Linked DNA regions of Struthio camelus. The protein of the gene in region 2 interacts with the protein of the main gene of each other region in a pairwise test. Links are inferred from orthologs where the notes say so. Each region holds a gene or a part of one and is shown on either strand. Other genes may lie near its edges.

Region 1 (7,580 bases), on a different chromosome or scaffold from region 2:
TAAAGGTAATAATGTATAATCTATTCTTTGCCCTTTTACAGACTAGTCTCTGAGCACAGTGGTTATAACTTGTCCTGGCCCTAGAGATATCAGTAAGGAATGTGTTAACATTCCCATAGATTATAAAGCAGGTATTATTAGACCACTAATATTAGCATACATTGTCATAGTTTGGCACTGTTTCTGATTGCTTTCTGCTGCTGAAAGCTTGGTGAATCCAAGGGAAGAATGATGTAACATCCTTCTCCTTCCAGCACCTTGGCAATAGTTTTGAAAGAGTTGTTTTGTCGTTGTTGACCACTAACAAGCCTTTCCCTCCTGAAAAATACGGCTTACAAAAGCTTTTCCTCTCTCAGTCACAAAAGGGCTCAGTAGCAATGCTAAGGAGATAGTGCTCTGAAATACCTGTGTGCAAGAATGAAGTGAAGGGAGGCGAGGAATGGCAAAAGCCATTTGTTTTAGTTTCTGAAGCATAATCTGAAAAAAAGCACACTGAATTATCCCTGTTTTGCTACAAATCACTTTCCTATTTATTCTAGTCCTAGTTTTGCTGGTCCCATAATTTTTGATATATCCAGTTAAATATCATTCACATGAATCATGCTACTGAGCATTTACTTTTCCCTTGGCAGTTGCTAAGTGCCGTTCTTCGTTTAATAAGTCCCAACCTCGTGTATGTTTGACAGTCTCTAAGGAGTGTTCTTCCTCTGAAAGTAGTAACTGAGTTCTGTTTGTTACATTTTTATATTTTCTCAAGAATTTCTGCCACGAGCCACTCAGGCTGCAATCGAGATATTAACATTTAATTCTCCAGATTTTATTGTAATTCCTTTGACTTGAATACCAAAAAATTTATTTGTGATTTTAAATGCTGAGGCAGTACCTTAAGCTTCATAAACTGAGCACACTCAAATGAGGGAACAGGCAAGAATGGCTGCAGTAGTTTGAGTGGACGGTCATTATATGAATAACATTCAGAGCCATTGCAAGTCATTGGGGAGCCAAAATAAGATCTGATAGTCAAAGTAATTAAAGTATAATTGCTATTTATTGCTTTCACAGAATCACAGAACGGTTTAGGTTGGAAGGGACCTCTGGAGATCATCTAGTCCAACCTCCCTGCTCAAGCAGGGCCCTCTAGAGCATATTGCCCAGGATCACATCCAGACGGGTTTTGAATATCTCCAGGGAAGGAGACTCCACCACCTCTCTGGGCAACCTGTTCCAATGCTCTGTCACCCTCACAGTAAAGAAGTTTTTTCTCAGCTTTAGATGGAACTTCCTGTGGTTCAGTTTCTGCCCATTCATGTATTCTGCTTTACAGAACACATAAACATAATAATATAATCTTTTCTCAATTATTAATACTGAGCTAAGGCACCAGTTCTACCAGGAACGTGGTCCTCTGCATTTTAAACAAGATGTAATTCTAAGACCACAACTGCCTGAGGTCATTAAAGAAGCCACAACGCTGTTTTTGGTAAGAACAGAGTAGACGCAGGTGTCCTTGCAAAAATTGCCTTTGGGAAATTTTATCTTAACTTATCTTTTTATTTCATTAGATGCCTCCCAATCCCTGTTTCATGATTACAGGAAAAGAGGTCTAATAGCAAATATACAATTAATTCTGCAGTATTAACTACTTAAAGTAATTTTGTCTTTAACTGGCACAAAAAAAAAAAAAAGCTGCTAAATTAACAGCCTTTCTTTAAGTGGTTACTTGATGAGAATTATTTTGAGCCTTATCTTACATCACTAAAGTAAATAGGAATTGAACTACATCTACAGATGCCAGTACCCGAAATCCCTATCAGGTTTTCACATAGGGAAAGTTCATTTTCAGTTCTTTGGAAAACTGAAAATGTGCCTGCTTTAATGCAAAGCCTGATCATGACTTACTGCTACTTGAGGATCAATCATTTTGCACTGGAATTACATGTCCCCATATTTCAAATGAATTCATTAACTGTTTTTAAATCAATCTTTTTAAATTCCTTTGATTTTAAGGAACATAACAGCCTCTTTGTAAATTCTAAAAGTCCTCCTTCTCTGTACACTTTTAATTAAGACTTTATCATTAAAAAGCTAGCAAGAGAATTCAGCCTTCTACAGCTCCATTCATTTTAGTAATCTCCGAGCATTACTGTGAAGGATCATTAATCCTACCACTCCTCCTGGCACAGCATTTTCTCTCAGGCCAGTCTTACAAAGAAAAGGACACAACCCCCCTGAAACTTTAAGTTAGCCATTGTTTACCTATGCCATGCTAGGAAGTAAATGAATAATGACAATGTTTTATCCTGCCATTAAAGAAAAAATCTTAAAAGTTCTAAGAAGTATGCAGCCGCTCAACATTTTTTTTTAAATTTTAATGGCCCAAGGACCCATTATGTAGTTTGATCTGACTCCCTGCATAACAGGAAAGATGGTTACATCAGTTTTGCAGACAGGCATTTTAAGCAATATGTCAAAGGCATCTAGCGTTTGTCTATACCCTAAAATGGAACATGGTGTAGCAATGCTTGAGTTAGAAGAGGCATGAGCTGAATCAATACAGTTCCATATCTGGACTTGCCACACTTGGTAGCAGCATGATCATATTTACAAAGTGCTGAAGCCAAACAAATAAGGCTGAATTCTCCATGTCAAGCTGCAACAACTTCATCTAGGAAAAAAAAGCTGCAGAATGAGGCCAGTCCCTATTTTCTCCTGTTAAACAATGGAAAAGTAAGAAAGGCATGTGCATTGTCATCCACTGTTGTGGGTGGGTAGAGGACCTTGGGCCATATGAATCTCCTGGCAGGCATCTAGCTCATATCTGTAGCCTTGACACCCCTGTCTAGCGACTAGAAGAGACAGAAATGGTCTGTCCAACGGCTTGAGGCATCAGCTCATTTTCTGGCAGCTACCCTCCTTTCTAGACTACTCAGGGAGCTGCAAATACTGAGAAGATAACCAGATATAGCAATATACTTTTACCAGTAGAGAGCACCCTCAGCTCAGAGCAAGAAGACACAAGTGCACAAGCCAGACCTCTCCTGCTCTGCATCTGCCTCTCCCCACTGCCATGGCTTCTTGGCCACCCCGAGCAGCACGTGGGGCACACAGGAGAGGAACCATGGCAGTGAGCACCACGTTGTCTCCCTGTAGTCCTATGCTCAAAGGGCACAGGGGAAGATATGGTCTCCAGATTTGCTACGCCACATCCTTCAGGGTCTGAAGCCAGGGAACAGCCACAGTCCGACCCCGTGGGCACCACCATCTGCCCCCTGACTCATGTCAGCATTCAGGTGAGTTGAAAAATTTGCACTAAGATGTGCTCTTCGAGACCAGATATAAGGACCTTTTTGAAGTGATAGGTTATGTGCTTCAAGTAACAGTCAAAAAACCAGCCATCTTTTGTAAACATATCAAACAAATAAATAGGAGTTAATTTCTTAGCTCTTCTCAAAACTGAAAGCTGTATTTACTTTTCAACAGACAAAAAACTTTCCCCAAACTGGCACTAAATAGTTCTTACACTACTACCACAGCGTTCCAAAAGGCAGCATTTCACAGACCTAGAAGCTATGTTTACTTTTCAACAGACAACAAAATTTCCCCAAATTGACACTAAATTGTTCTTATATGACTACTGCAGTTCCAAAAGGCACATTAATAATGCAAATACACAGCAGCTCACATTTGCTGCTCGTTAGGGGATAAGGCAGAGCTTTCGGCTTTCAGCAGAAATGAGCCATCTGAGAACCATCTACCGCTAACGGAGACCGTTCTTCATCTACAAATTCATATTCAACGTTTTTGTTAACTGCAGTTGAGATCATACCTCAGTACTATCATGCCATACAAACATCAACTCATTTCACTAAAGAAAGTTATAAATGGATAGGTTTGGGTCTAAAAAGCCTATAAACCTCCCCCGAGGACATCTATCCTGCACCCATCCCCACTGCAAAAGCCTCCCCCACGAAGCTTTGCAGTATTTTACGGACTACGTCATTAATCTGTGGCAGAGGGGAATTTAGGCTAATGCACGCAACTCCGTTATTTGTGCTTTCTGTCATGAAGGCAGCAATATATTTATTTTCGTCATCAACCCACTTATGTAACATTTCTGGCTTTCACTGCTAATCCGTAACGGTTCCCCAGTGAACACAGATTACCTGCGAACACTCGCTAACCGGGCTTAACTGCTCGTTTACGTTTTCCTTTTACGTTAGGCAGGAAAGAGGGTAAAAGCCTCGCCAGAGAGGCCCATATGCGAGGCTACAAAAATACACTTGTAATCTCTGCAAAGTTGTAAAGTCATTTTTAAGAGCATCAGCAAAACTACTAAATCTCCGCACGACAAAAGCCTTTCCTCTAAGCACGAGGAAAACCCGCGGGATTACGCTCAAGCTTAACGCTCGGGCAACGAGAGGCCTTTAACGCCCTCGCGGCCCAGCCGGCCTCGGGCCGCGGCGTTGCCGCCGCGCGTCACTTCCGGGCGGCCCGGACTACGTTTCCCAGAATGCCCCAGGGACTCTTCTCGCGAGAGCTCGCGGCGGAAGTGACGACAGCGGCCCGGAAGTGCCGCTGCCTTGGAGACGGGAGCTGGGCCCTCGAGCGCCCGCCGAGCCGCTGCAGCCGCCGCGCCCCGGAGACCATGGCCGAGACCGACCCCAAGACCGTGCAGGACCTCACCGCCGTGGTGAGGCCGCCGCGCCCGAGCCCCGCCGCGGAGGGCCGGGGGGGTCGCGGAGCCCCGCCGCGGAGGGGCGGGCGGGTCGGCCGAGGCCTGCTCGAGGAGCGCTAGGGCTGGGCCTCGCCCCGGGCCGGCCGCCGGGGGCTTCCTCCCTTCCAGCCCCGCTGGAAATCGCCTTGGCCGCAGGGTTGTGTCCGCTGGAGCGTGCGCGGCCAGAGCAGCTCGGATCCGCCTCTGTGTGTGCGGAGAGGTTGCAAGGAGGGGTTATCGGGGGCGGGGGGCGGGTGCGAGCAAGGGTTTGGGAGTGCAGAGAGAAAGGCTTGTCTTTTCTCAGGTTGTTATTTTGATACTGAAAAGAGCGTCAGCGCGTGATTAACGTAGCTCGCTGGAAGCAACTGCTGTGGGTGTAGCTCTGGTTGTGGCACTCGGGCATTTTCTAGAACACTAAAATTGTTTACTGTGAGCCTCAGTTCTCTTGTTCATGATATGATAGTTAAATTGGGAAATAAACCATAGAGTTTTTCATTGTTGAGCTCAACCATGAAACAAAACTTTATGCTTGCCTTGTTTCATATTCTAATAAAATGAGATTAAATACAGTAATAATTCCTTCAATGCGAAAAAAAAAAAACCAGACTTTTTTTTCTTTCTATCAGGTGCAGACATTGCTTCAGCAAATGCAGGACAAATTTCAAACCATGTCTGACCAAATCATTGGAAGAAATATCCTTTTTTAAAGTCAGATAGCTATTATACCCTATGGATGCACAAGAATTCTTATGTATGTTTGAAGTGGGATTTGCAAGACATTGAAAGTGAGCGTAAGAGTTTGAGCAAAGCCATAATCAAAAAAAAAAAAAAAAGCTTGCAGTCATATTCCTTAACTCCAGTTAACTTGATGACATGAGCTGTCGCATAGATGACCTGGAGAAAAACATAGCAGACCTCATGACACAAGCAGGAGTGGAAGAATTAGAAGGCGAAAACAAGGCCCCTGCTACTAACAAGAGTTAAAGTGAGACAGTTGTTTGTTAGTCTTGAAACAGATCCTCTCCTCACTTGAAATTATTGACTTTGAAGCAGACAATATTTTGTCCTTTGACTTGTGAGGCAGTCTGAAATTTGAAATTCATGTGGAGTAGCTCTGTACTTTATGATACAAAAAACAGGATGCTGATCTGCTCTCTTCAGCCGTTCCTACTTCACCAATGATGTTTCCTTCACCAATAATGGATGAAAGTTCCCTTTTCTCCATTTCTAGTTAGTTAATGAGGAAATATAGTAGTTGTATTCACCTTCTGTTATTCACTTGCTCTGGTACTCTTAGTAAGATCTGAAATAATGACACAGGAAGGGGAAGAGATGAGAAGAACTTAGAACATCAGTAACAAAGTGAGCTGATCTTTTCTCCCTTCTCTCTGCGCATTTGAGTCTTCTGAAAAGGACCATAATCTCATGCATGTTTCCACCCTCTGCTCTGATTTTTATAGCTAGAAAGTTACTGTTGACTTGGTGCTACTCTTCCATCTTCAGCTGCATAGTGTAGACTCTAGCTCCCGATAAGCTCCTAAAGCCTCCAGAACCTGCTGGTGCGCACAGGGGCTGATGAGTGAGTTACTATCAGTCACCTCTAAACCTGGAACAGGTTGCCCAGAGAGGCTGTGGAGTCTCCTTTCCTGGAGATATTCAAAACCCACCTGGCCACGATCCTGTGCTGTAGATGACCCTGCTTGAGCAGGGGGGTTGGACTAGGTGATCTCCAGAGGTCCCTTCCAACCTTGGCTGTTCTGTGATTCTCCTATGTAAGTTAGGAACTTGCTGTGATTACATGACTCAGTTGTGTTACTGCACAGCAGCAGGTGCTGACTCCGACAATGAATATACTAGAATGCTTAAACATAAGGCGAGGCATATTCTAAGGGAACTTGCCCTGGAAAAAGAAATCTTGTATAGAAAGGTAAATGTGGTGTTTGTTCTTACCATGCAACTTCTTGATTGATAATGTCTCCCTGTATTGTTAGGCAAAAACATGAGAGAAGCAGATCTTTCATCTACTTGAAAAGCAGCAGGTAAAAGTCTAGCACAGCAACATGTAAATGAATTTAAGTGACCAAGTAACACACACACACACAACGTTTACAAGGCTTGCTAAAGGCATTTCAGAGGATGGTGGCAATGCAAGACTTCTAAAACTGTCAGAGCATAAACAAAGCACGCTGGAGGGCTTAATTATTGTATACAAGTAGTGATATTTCACTTCAGTATGCGCAAAACTTGATTTTTGTAATCCATGGAAAGCAACTGTTAAATAGAGTACCAGATGTATCCTGTTAGCTTAACATAGTGTCTTAAGGTGGCTAATAAGACACTTCTTAGATAACCTGTCTTATGCCTGAAATTCTGAGGTCGGTTCTGCAATACTATGCAGTCTGTATAATTGGAATGTGTGTCTCAGGCAGGTATAGATCTTGCCTTGTTAAAGTACCTATTCTTTGTGATACTCTGATAAAATATAGATTATTATGGGCTTTATTGTGCCCAGAAGCTAACTTTATTCTCTCAGCCTGAACCCCACAAATACAATTTTTGATACGTTGTGCTTTCTACCCCCCTCAGGAGTGTGGAAATTTTGCTGATGCCTGATTTTATTGATCCTTCACTAACTGCACTGTTTCTGATGAACATGCTTCTCTAATTCGTCTCAGTAATTTTTTTTTATCTTTCCCCAACAGGTTGCCAATAACTTAAGATGAATGCTGGAACACTTTTTTTTTTTTTTTTTTTTTTGTCTTTTTCCCAAACAAGCCCTTGAAATTACAGAACAGCTTTTTGCAACTACAATGTGTAAAAGCATTTTTATATTGTTATGGAGCTTGCATTCCTGATGTATAGCTAG
Region 2 (7,143 bases):
GTAGCAGATCAGTTTCAGTGCTTTGAAACCTATGCTGTTTCCCTTCCTCTGCAGTGCATGCTAAACACTAGACATTGACAGTATTTTTTTTACTAGTGATGGAGACAAAGCTTTGATCAGTTTTCTGTACACATAGCTTTTGCACTCCAAGTTAGCCTAAGCATCTCTAAGATTAACATCTTGCCAATACTAATATTCAACTGAAATTTATTTTGATAACTGTTGAACAGTCTTTAATCTTGGCTTCGCTGAAAGGTGGAGCTACATAACTGAGTCTTTACATGCCTACATATATATGTACACATGCATAGGATATAAGCTGCTTTCAGTTACATACTGTACAGTATTTATTCCTTAAATGTGATATTTATCATCCAGTATGGGTGCTGGTACAGAAATTCATTTTCAAATCGTACACAGTGTAAATTTGGATATTATCCCTGAATTATTTTGTATAAATCCTCCCGCTGGGATTCAGACATTAATAGTTCCAGTTTAACTAGCTCGATTAAAACATTTTAAAGAGGTTTTGGAAAAATTTGGATCATTTGCCTCCACTCTGTTTGTGTTTTTCACTTTTCATACCCTGCATTTTGTAGTTCCAGCTGGGAGAAAAAGTGCTGTGTTACAGCTTTCTGCGCAGTATTTTTGGCCAAATCAAAAGAAGGAAGTACCAGAAAGTTCACAGACGAGCCGATTCTTGTCAGACTTCTTGTCCAATTTTACAGATCAAATGATTCAGCTAAGATTTGGCTAAGCATCTATATTATAAAATTTCTTTAGCAATGCCTGGAAAACTTACATTATGGGCATTTTTTGGTAAATGAGATTCATTCTTCTTGCATACAACTTGTCCTTTAAGATAATTAAGATGGCAAGATAATTCACTTAGATATTTTAAACAAACAGTTCCTTCCCCCAAAAATAATTTGCAGAATTGCCATAGGCTAGATTAAACCTATTGAATTTGTAGGCTAACCCCCTCCTTCCTTTGAGAGATGTGAGAAATTGCCAAGTATATGTCACTGGGCCAAAACACCGTACAAAACCCAGGTTGTTCAATAATTCAAACAGTATGGACAAAAAGGACTTTGCTATGTAGTATTTTAGCTGAAAGAATAAGAGGGATATGAGTATGACGAAAGATAAGTTAAAGAAACCACTAAATACGAAATCAAAGAAAAGCAGCTTCAGCACATAAATGAATATTTTACCTAATTTCGGAGCAACAGAGGTAGGTACTCCAGTTCTATTCCAGTCCTCATAGATCCTGGAAATGGGATTGCTTAGTGAAACAAAATAATTTGGAAGTAAACTGAGAATTTAAAATTTTAATTAAAATTAGCATAGCACTTTAGGGATATAATCTTCACTTTAGGGATATAATCTTAATAGTATTAAAGTAATTAGCACCTTTTGGTTCATCTCATCACATGAGAAGCTTCCTACTGACAGCCTCAGACTATGGTAGATTCTTAACTGCTCTAAATTTAGATAGTTTTATTGGATTTATGAGTATTTAGAGGTAGCCATGAGGTGTTTTCATCAGGCACTTACTCCACTACACTCTATTTGGATACACTGCTGTTACAAACAACCTGGAACCCCAAATTGCTCTGATTTGTCTTGTCTTCCAGTAATACACAAACCTAGAATATAAATGAATTAAAGTTTTAATTAAAAAGGTTGAGCTGTTTGTTATATCATTGGAACAAAAGATTACCAACAACCTCATTCCAGGATCTTTAGTTGCTTAGCTTGGATTCTCCAAAGCACAGCCCAGGTGTCAGGACTGAGAATTCTGTGCTCACAATGAACACTCCAAAGGTTAGCCTCTTTTCTGAACTAATTATTTTTGTCAAATCTGTGAATAAACTCTGAGAGTTAATGACAGTTTTCACAGAAGGAACAAATGCAATCTGCATGTACTGCTGGAGCTGGGGCTTACTTAAAACTGCTAGTGTGCCTGATGCTCTCTTTGGAGCTATGTGTTAGGAGATTTAAAGGTAGTTTCTCATCCTTCATTCATACTTAATCAGCCACAGGATTGGATGCATGATCTATCTGTAATTGCCATTCCTGGCTCTTTTAGAGGCAATGTCCTAAAATGTGTAATGACTTGTTCTTCTTTGAGCCTAACCAGCTGGCTGGTTGATCAGTCCCAAAGAATACAGACAGTATAGCTCACAGAAGACCTGTTGACAATGTGGAAACCAATTATTTAATACAAGATAGGGTTCAAACACTCTCTGTTCATTTCACAATCTCTTGTATATAACTGTGTATAAATGTATATACCACATTCAAAATCTTATGAGCACAGATGGCAGATGCGGTTAACAGGGCCAGAAGATCAGCTCTCCTTCCTAAGCTTTTACTGTGACTATCAGAGTTTCAGCCAGCAAAATAGCTATCTCAATCACCGTGCACAGTTCATTATATATTTTTAAAGTTACACATCAGATGCGCATCCAGCAAATAAGTGTTTCTTTCTATTGCTGTTCTCCTGAAACGCCAAGGGCGAAGTTGCATGAGATGGCAGAATTATCTGCATTTTGCTACCACTCCCTGAAAGGAAAGGTCTCGTTTTCTTTTAACACTGCCCCTCCCTTATACACAGACTCTGGTGTTCAATGCACACTTCAGCTGATTTGATTCAGCTCATTACCCAAAGAGGAAAAACTCCCTCCTCTAAGGTTAGTTGTCTGCCAGGATGGCAATTTGAATTGCCTCAAGGATGGGTTCACCGAGAACAAGTGATAAACTGAGTTCACCAGCTGGTGGTGAAGGGTGAGAGGGAGGTGGAAAAGCCTTTCGACGAAGCAAGCTATTGGAGTGGTCCATACCGTCTTCATTTTGGGACCCCACACCTAAATGGTTTGATTAGTGCTCTGAAATTAGCCACAGCGGAAAATAACATGAGCAACTTCTCAGAGATAAAAAAAAAAAAAAGAGGTTGATTGTTTTACAGTTAGGGAATTATTCCGGATGAACACTTGGAAACCTACTGACCATTCCCTTTTTCCTTAGAGTCTGATACCCCTAAGTTTCTTTGGCCGAGAGAAACAGAGTAGACCTTCTTATAACCTAAACATGAGAGCAAATAGAAAGCAGTGGTAGGTATTGCTGAACAAAAGAAAACATCACCATAGGTCAGCACAGGAGGCACATATACAGCAAGGGCATCTTTGGAAAATACCAACATTACTGTATGGTGAAGAACTTCAATGAATAACCTGCTTCATTGTCACTAAATACTGGTATTACTTTTCTGCTCAAGCTGACTGTGATCCCCTATTGTTTTAATGATACGAATTTTCTATTATGTCTTTATTCTCATATCATGTGTTAACTATTTAAACACTCTCCTATCCATTGTTACCCTATGATCAGAGGAAACCCCATCTTTCACCTTGTCTGGGTTTACTGGTGAGCTGTACCACCAGTACACCAGTTATTGCAAAATCATCAAAGTGAACATTCAGCCGAGCTTAATTCTTATAAATCTTCTCATGTTAAATATCCTGTCAAAACCAAACAAATAAAAGGCAGAAGTGAGAGATACTGCTATTTAAGAGACTTGTTCAAGCGAAAAGTTACTTGTTTAGTAAAGGCCCGTTACAGTCAGCTTTCCAAACACATTTCATGAATGTTTTCAACATATCTTTATTAAAAATGATTTTTTTATATTTATTTTTATATTATCCTTTTTATATTACAGACGTATTTTTTAAGTTTTGAATATATCCATGAGATACGCAGTACAATCCTGGAAAACCCTAAGGAAAAGCACTGATAAAATCTGAATGAAACTATCAGTTTATAAAATACGATTACAGAGATGATAGTGGCAGAGCACTAAGCAGCATTAACTGAAACACTAACGTTAAGACAGGCCGCAGCTAAGGTTCCCCGTACTCCCTTAGCTCCTTTTGCAGTAAGGTACAGAAATCTTTCGTAACTTGATTGCCCAGGCTCATTCACTGCTCGTGACTTTTATCCGACCCTCCATCATCCAAAAAACGCCCCAAAAAATAAAAAAAAATCAGTTTCCTTGCGGATATTTCTCCTTATTTGGCTGCCTGACGGCTGGGGAAGACCTTTCCCCTCCACAGCCCGTTATCCAAGGCCTTGTTTTCAGACAGGTCGGTGCGGCAGCGTGAGCCCCGGCCGCAACGGGGGCCTTTTGCCAAACGCACTAGAAGAACAAGGGCGAAGGCAGCACCGCGGTGCTTCAGCAGCCGCCCTTACAAAGACGCGGAAGGAGGCCGGTAGAGGCGGGGGGACCTGCGCCCGCCGCCGCCGCCACAGCTCGCCTTCCCCCCCCGCCCCCCCAACCCCGCACCTCGCTCGGACTACACTTCCCATGGCGCATTGCGGCAGGGGCCGGGGCGCTGCACATGCGCACAGCGGCCAGCGCCTTGCCGGAGCCGGCGGGCGGGTTTGTTTCCGGGCGGTGGTCAGAGGTCGGGCGCGCAGCGCGAGGGCCTTGCGGGGGGCGGCGGGGCTGTCGGCCGCCCCTCGGCCGCGGGGCGGCGGGGCGATGGATGAGGACGGGCTGCCCATCGTGGGCTCCGGCATTGACCTCACCAAGGTACGGGGCGCCGGCCGCCGCGGAGGCCGCAGCTGGCCCGGCCCGGCCCGGCCCGGCCCGGCCGCGGCTGCGCTGACCCTGGTGCTGGGCGGGCCGGGTGCTGCCGCCCGAGGCCCCGGCGTGGGGGGTTGGGGGCGCCCGGCCGCCGCCCCCGGGGCGCAGAGTGGTATGCGAAAGTAACTTCGTCCCTGCAGCGGAGGCGCCCGGCAGGCCCGGCGGTTTGTCTCGTCTTGAGCTGTGTCTGCGAGGGGACAGTCTTGCGCTCTTCCAGAGGCGCTTGGCTGCAAGTAACAGCGTCGTGTTTACGGGTTAAACCGTGTCGGGCTTCGAACTGTGAAACAAACCCTATGCAAAGCTGCCTACCTTGGTCTTTTAGTGATTAAAACAAAAAAAAAAAAAAAACCCACGTTATTAGCTTTGTTTATGAAATATCAAGCATAAGGATTGGACAGTTCCAGGCCTGATGATTCCCCTTCCTTCCATCCATCTTCCTAGCCCCGTAACTTTCTGATAAGGATTTGACCGCTGTTTGATGGTTTTGGAGCTACAGAATTGAACTTTAGGAGATCTTGGACTACAGGTGAACAGATTGACAACTGAAGCGATAGTAACAACAATCTCACAAAAAATCAGGATGTTTTCATGTTGGCAAAGGTAGTGAATGGCTGCACTGACAGGTGGGAGTGCAGCAAACAAGTAGCAACCGTAAGTGCTTGCTGAACAGCTAATCCTGTCAATGTAGTCGTACTCAGGTGCTGATTAAGACAAACTGTGGTTCAGTGCAGCTAAAGCTTTGCTACAAATGTTTTTCCTTGTAAGTGCTCTGCTTGAATCAATTAAGATTCCCTGTGTAACTTCTTATGTGGAATTTAAGACTTTTCACTATTGTCCAAAAATGAACTCTGAAGCCCTGTAATTTTATAGGCAAACATTTGTGTGAATGTTCTCGGTTTGCATCTTTTCTAATGGTTTAAATAAAAATGCCAGCTATTTGTTGCAAATGAACACCACACCTGTTTTCGACAAATATAACCTTCTACACCTTTTAGCCTGAAAAGTACATGTGCATGAACCTCCCACTTGGAAGAGCGACACTGAAGTCTAATTTTAGGATAATCTTAGCTTGAAAAAAATATATAGGTATTCAGTAAAGACAGACAGCAATTTCACTACTCCTTATTTTTGATTGTGAAGTATTGATGATAGTTTTAACTGAGTACTTACATGGATGGACAGGTTTTCTTTTTCCTCCTTAAACTTCCAAAAGAGAGGTTCTGACCTGCTCTCTCTCTCTTTTTTTTTTTTTTAATTTTAATGCTGATTTTCAAGGGTTTTCATAATTTCATTCAAAAGCATTTGCTTAAATAAGGTAACTGTCCTTCAGTTATGTGAATATTCCCTTTTCCATGTATCTTTTAACTTTTCAAGTATGACATTAGTAAATTTTTAATGAAAAAGAATTTGTATATCTATAAGCAATGAATAAACATATATATATGTATATATATATGCATTCATATCAGGCACGCTTAGGGCTTACTTCTAAAATAATTTCTTCTAAAATACTTGCAGTTTTTTATAACTATCTTAGTCTAGATGTGAGAGTTGATGCCTGTGTATAAGCTAATTTTCTTATATTGTTTAATGCAGGTTCCTGCTATTCAGCAGAAAAGAACTGTAGCATTTCTAAACCAGTTTGTGGTTCACACCGTACAGTTTCTCAACCGATTTTCTACTGTTTGTGAAGAGGTATGTTTATTGTTTCCCATTTGTCAATTTGTATAGATGAAAAAACAAATTCAGAAATGAGAACCATTCAATTTGATACGTTTTGCTGCAAGATGGCCAGGTAGCTTAAACCAGAAAATTTAATCGATGCAGTGTTTCTCTTGAGTGAAGACGTAAGACAGATTTTTTTTTTCCAAGTTACCCATGTGAATTGCTGATTGTACCAGACTGATAACCTTTTTCCTTAAACTTTTGCATTTGGCACAGTCTTTGGACTTTTTTCTGAGCAGCTCCATTTGTGGATATGCTCTTCTTTTGGAAGAAGAATGCCTTCTTTCTATGCTGCTGGATCTATTTTGAAAGTCAGTATTCATCTCATCCTACGATGCACATCAAAATTTTCTTGCAAATATTTTCCACCTTTACTTTGAAAGGGTGATATGCTAAGCTCTGCATGTAAATGATATTCATGTGAAAAAAAGACGTTTTTGGCAAGTGATTAGCATGGAACATGAGGCAGTTGATTTTAGTGTTTTCTCAGAAAGAGAAAAGTAAAAACAGTAAAAGCTGACAAGTTTTTATGGTGAATTTAGTGTCCAAGAAAACATACCAGACTGACAGTACTAGAATTGATCACAGAACAGGTCTAGAGTGTTTCATCCCTTGTAGAAAGGTTGGTTTCTAATGTGGCTTTAAGCTTAACCTTTTTATCATGAGGGTTTTTTTGTAACTGTTGACTCGCTTACTCAACAAAGACTACTATACAGCCCTAGCCAGCAGCAATTGTCATATCCAATTAGACTAAGCCGTGTAATCTGAGA

What was found.
Region 1: the proteins of WASHC3 (region 2) and HSBP1 interact in binary tests that used the Homo sapiens proteins (3 or more experiments, as listed by UniProt). The two-hybrid records come from large-scale screens. The link is inferred for Struthio camelus from reciprocal best matches to the Homo sapiens genes WASHC3 and HSBP1.

The regions. Positions count from the first base shown.
Region 1 is NC_090951.1:4,839,934-4,847,513, forward strand, and holds the start of HSBP1 (heat shock factor-binding protein 1), read left to right. Parts: upstream 1-4,532; 5' UTR 4,533-4,645; coding exon 4,646-4,690; intron 4,691-5,340; coding exon 5,341-5,407; intron 5,408-5,579; coding exon 5,580-5,698; 3' UTR 5,699-5,699; intron 5,700-6,705; 3' UTR 6,706-6,753; intron 6,754-7,416; 3' UTR 7,417-7,580. UniProt on the Homo sapiens protein: Negative regulator of the heat shock response. Negatively affects HSF1 DNA-binding activity. May have a role in the suppression of the activation of the stress response during the aging process.
Region 2 is NC_090942.1:63,564,124-63,571,266, forward strand, and holds the start of WASHC3 (WASH complex subunit 3), read left to right. Parts: upstream 1-4,117; 5' UTR 4,118-4,366; coding exon 4,367-4,594; intron 4,595-6,244; coding exon 6,245-6,343; intron 6,344-7,143. UniProt on the Homo sapiens protein: Acts as a component of the WASH core complex that functions as a nucleation-promoting factor (NPF) at the surface of endosomes, where it recruits and activates the Arp2/3 complex to induce actin polymerization, playing a key role in the fission of tubules that serve as transport intermediates during endosome sorting.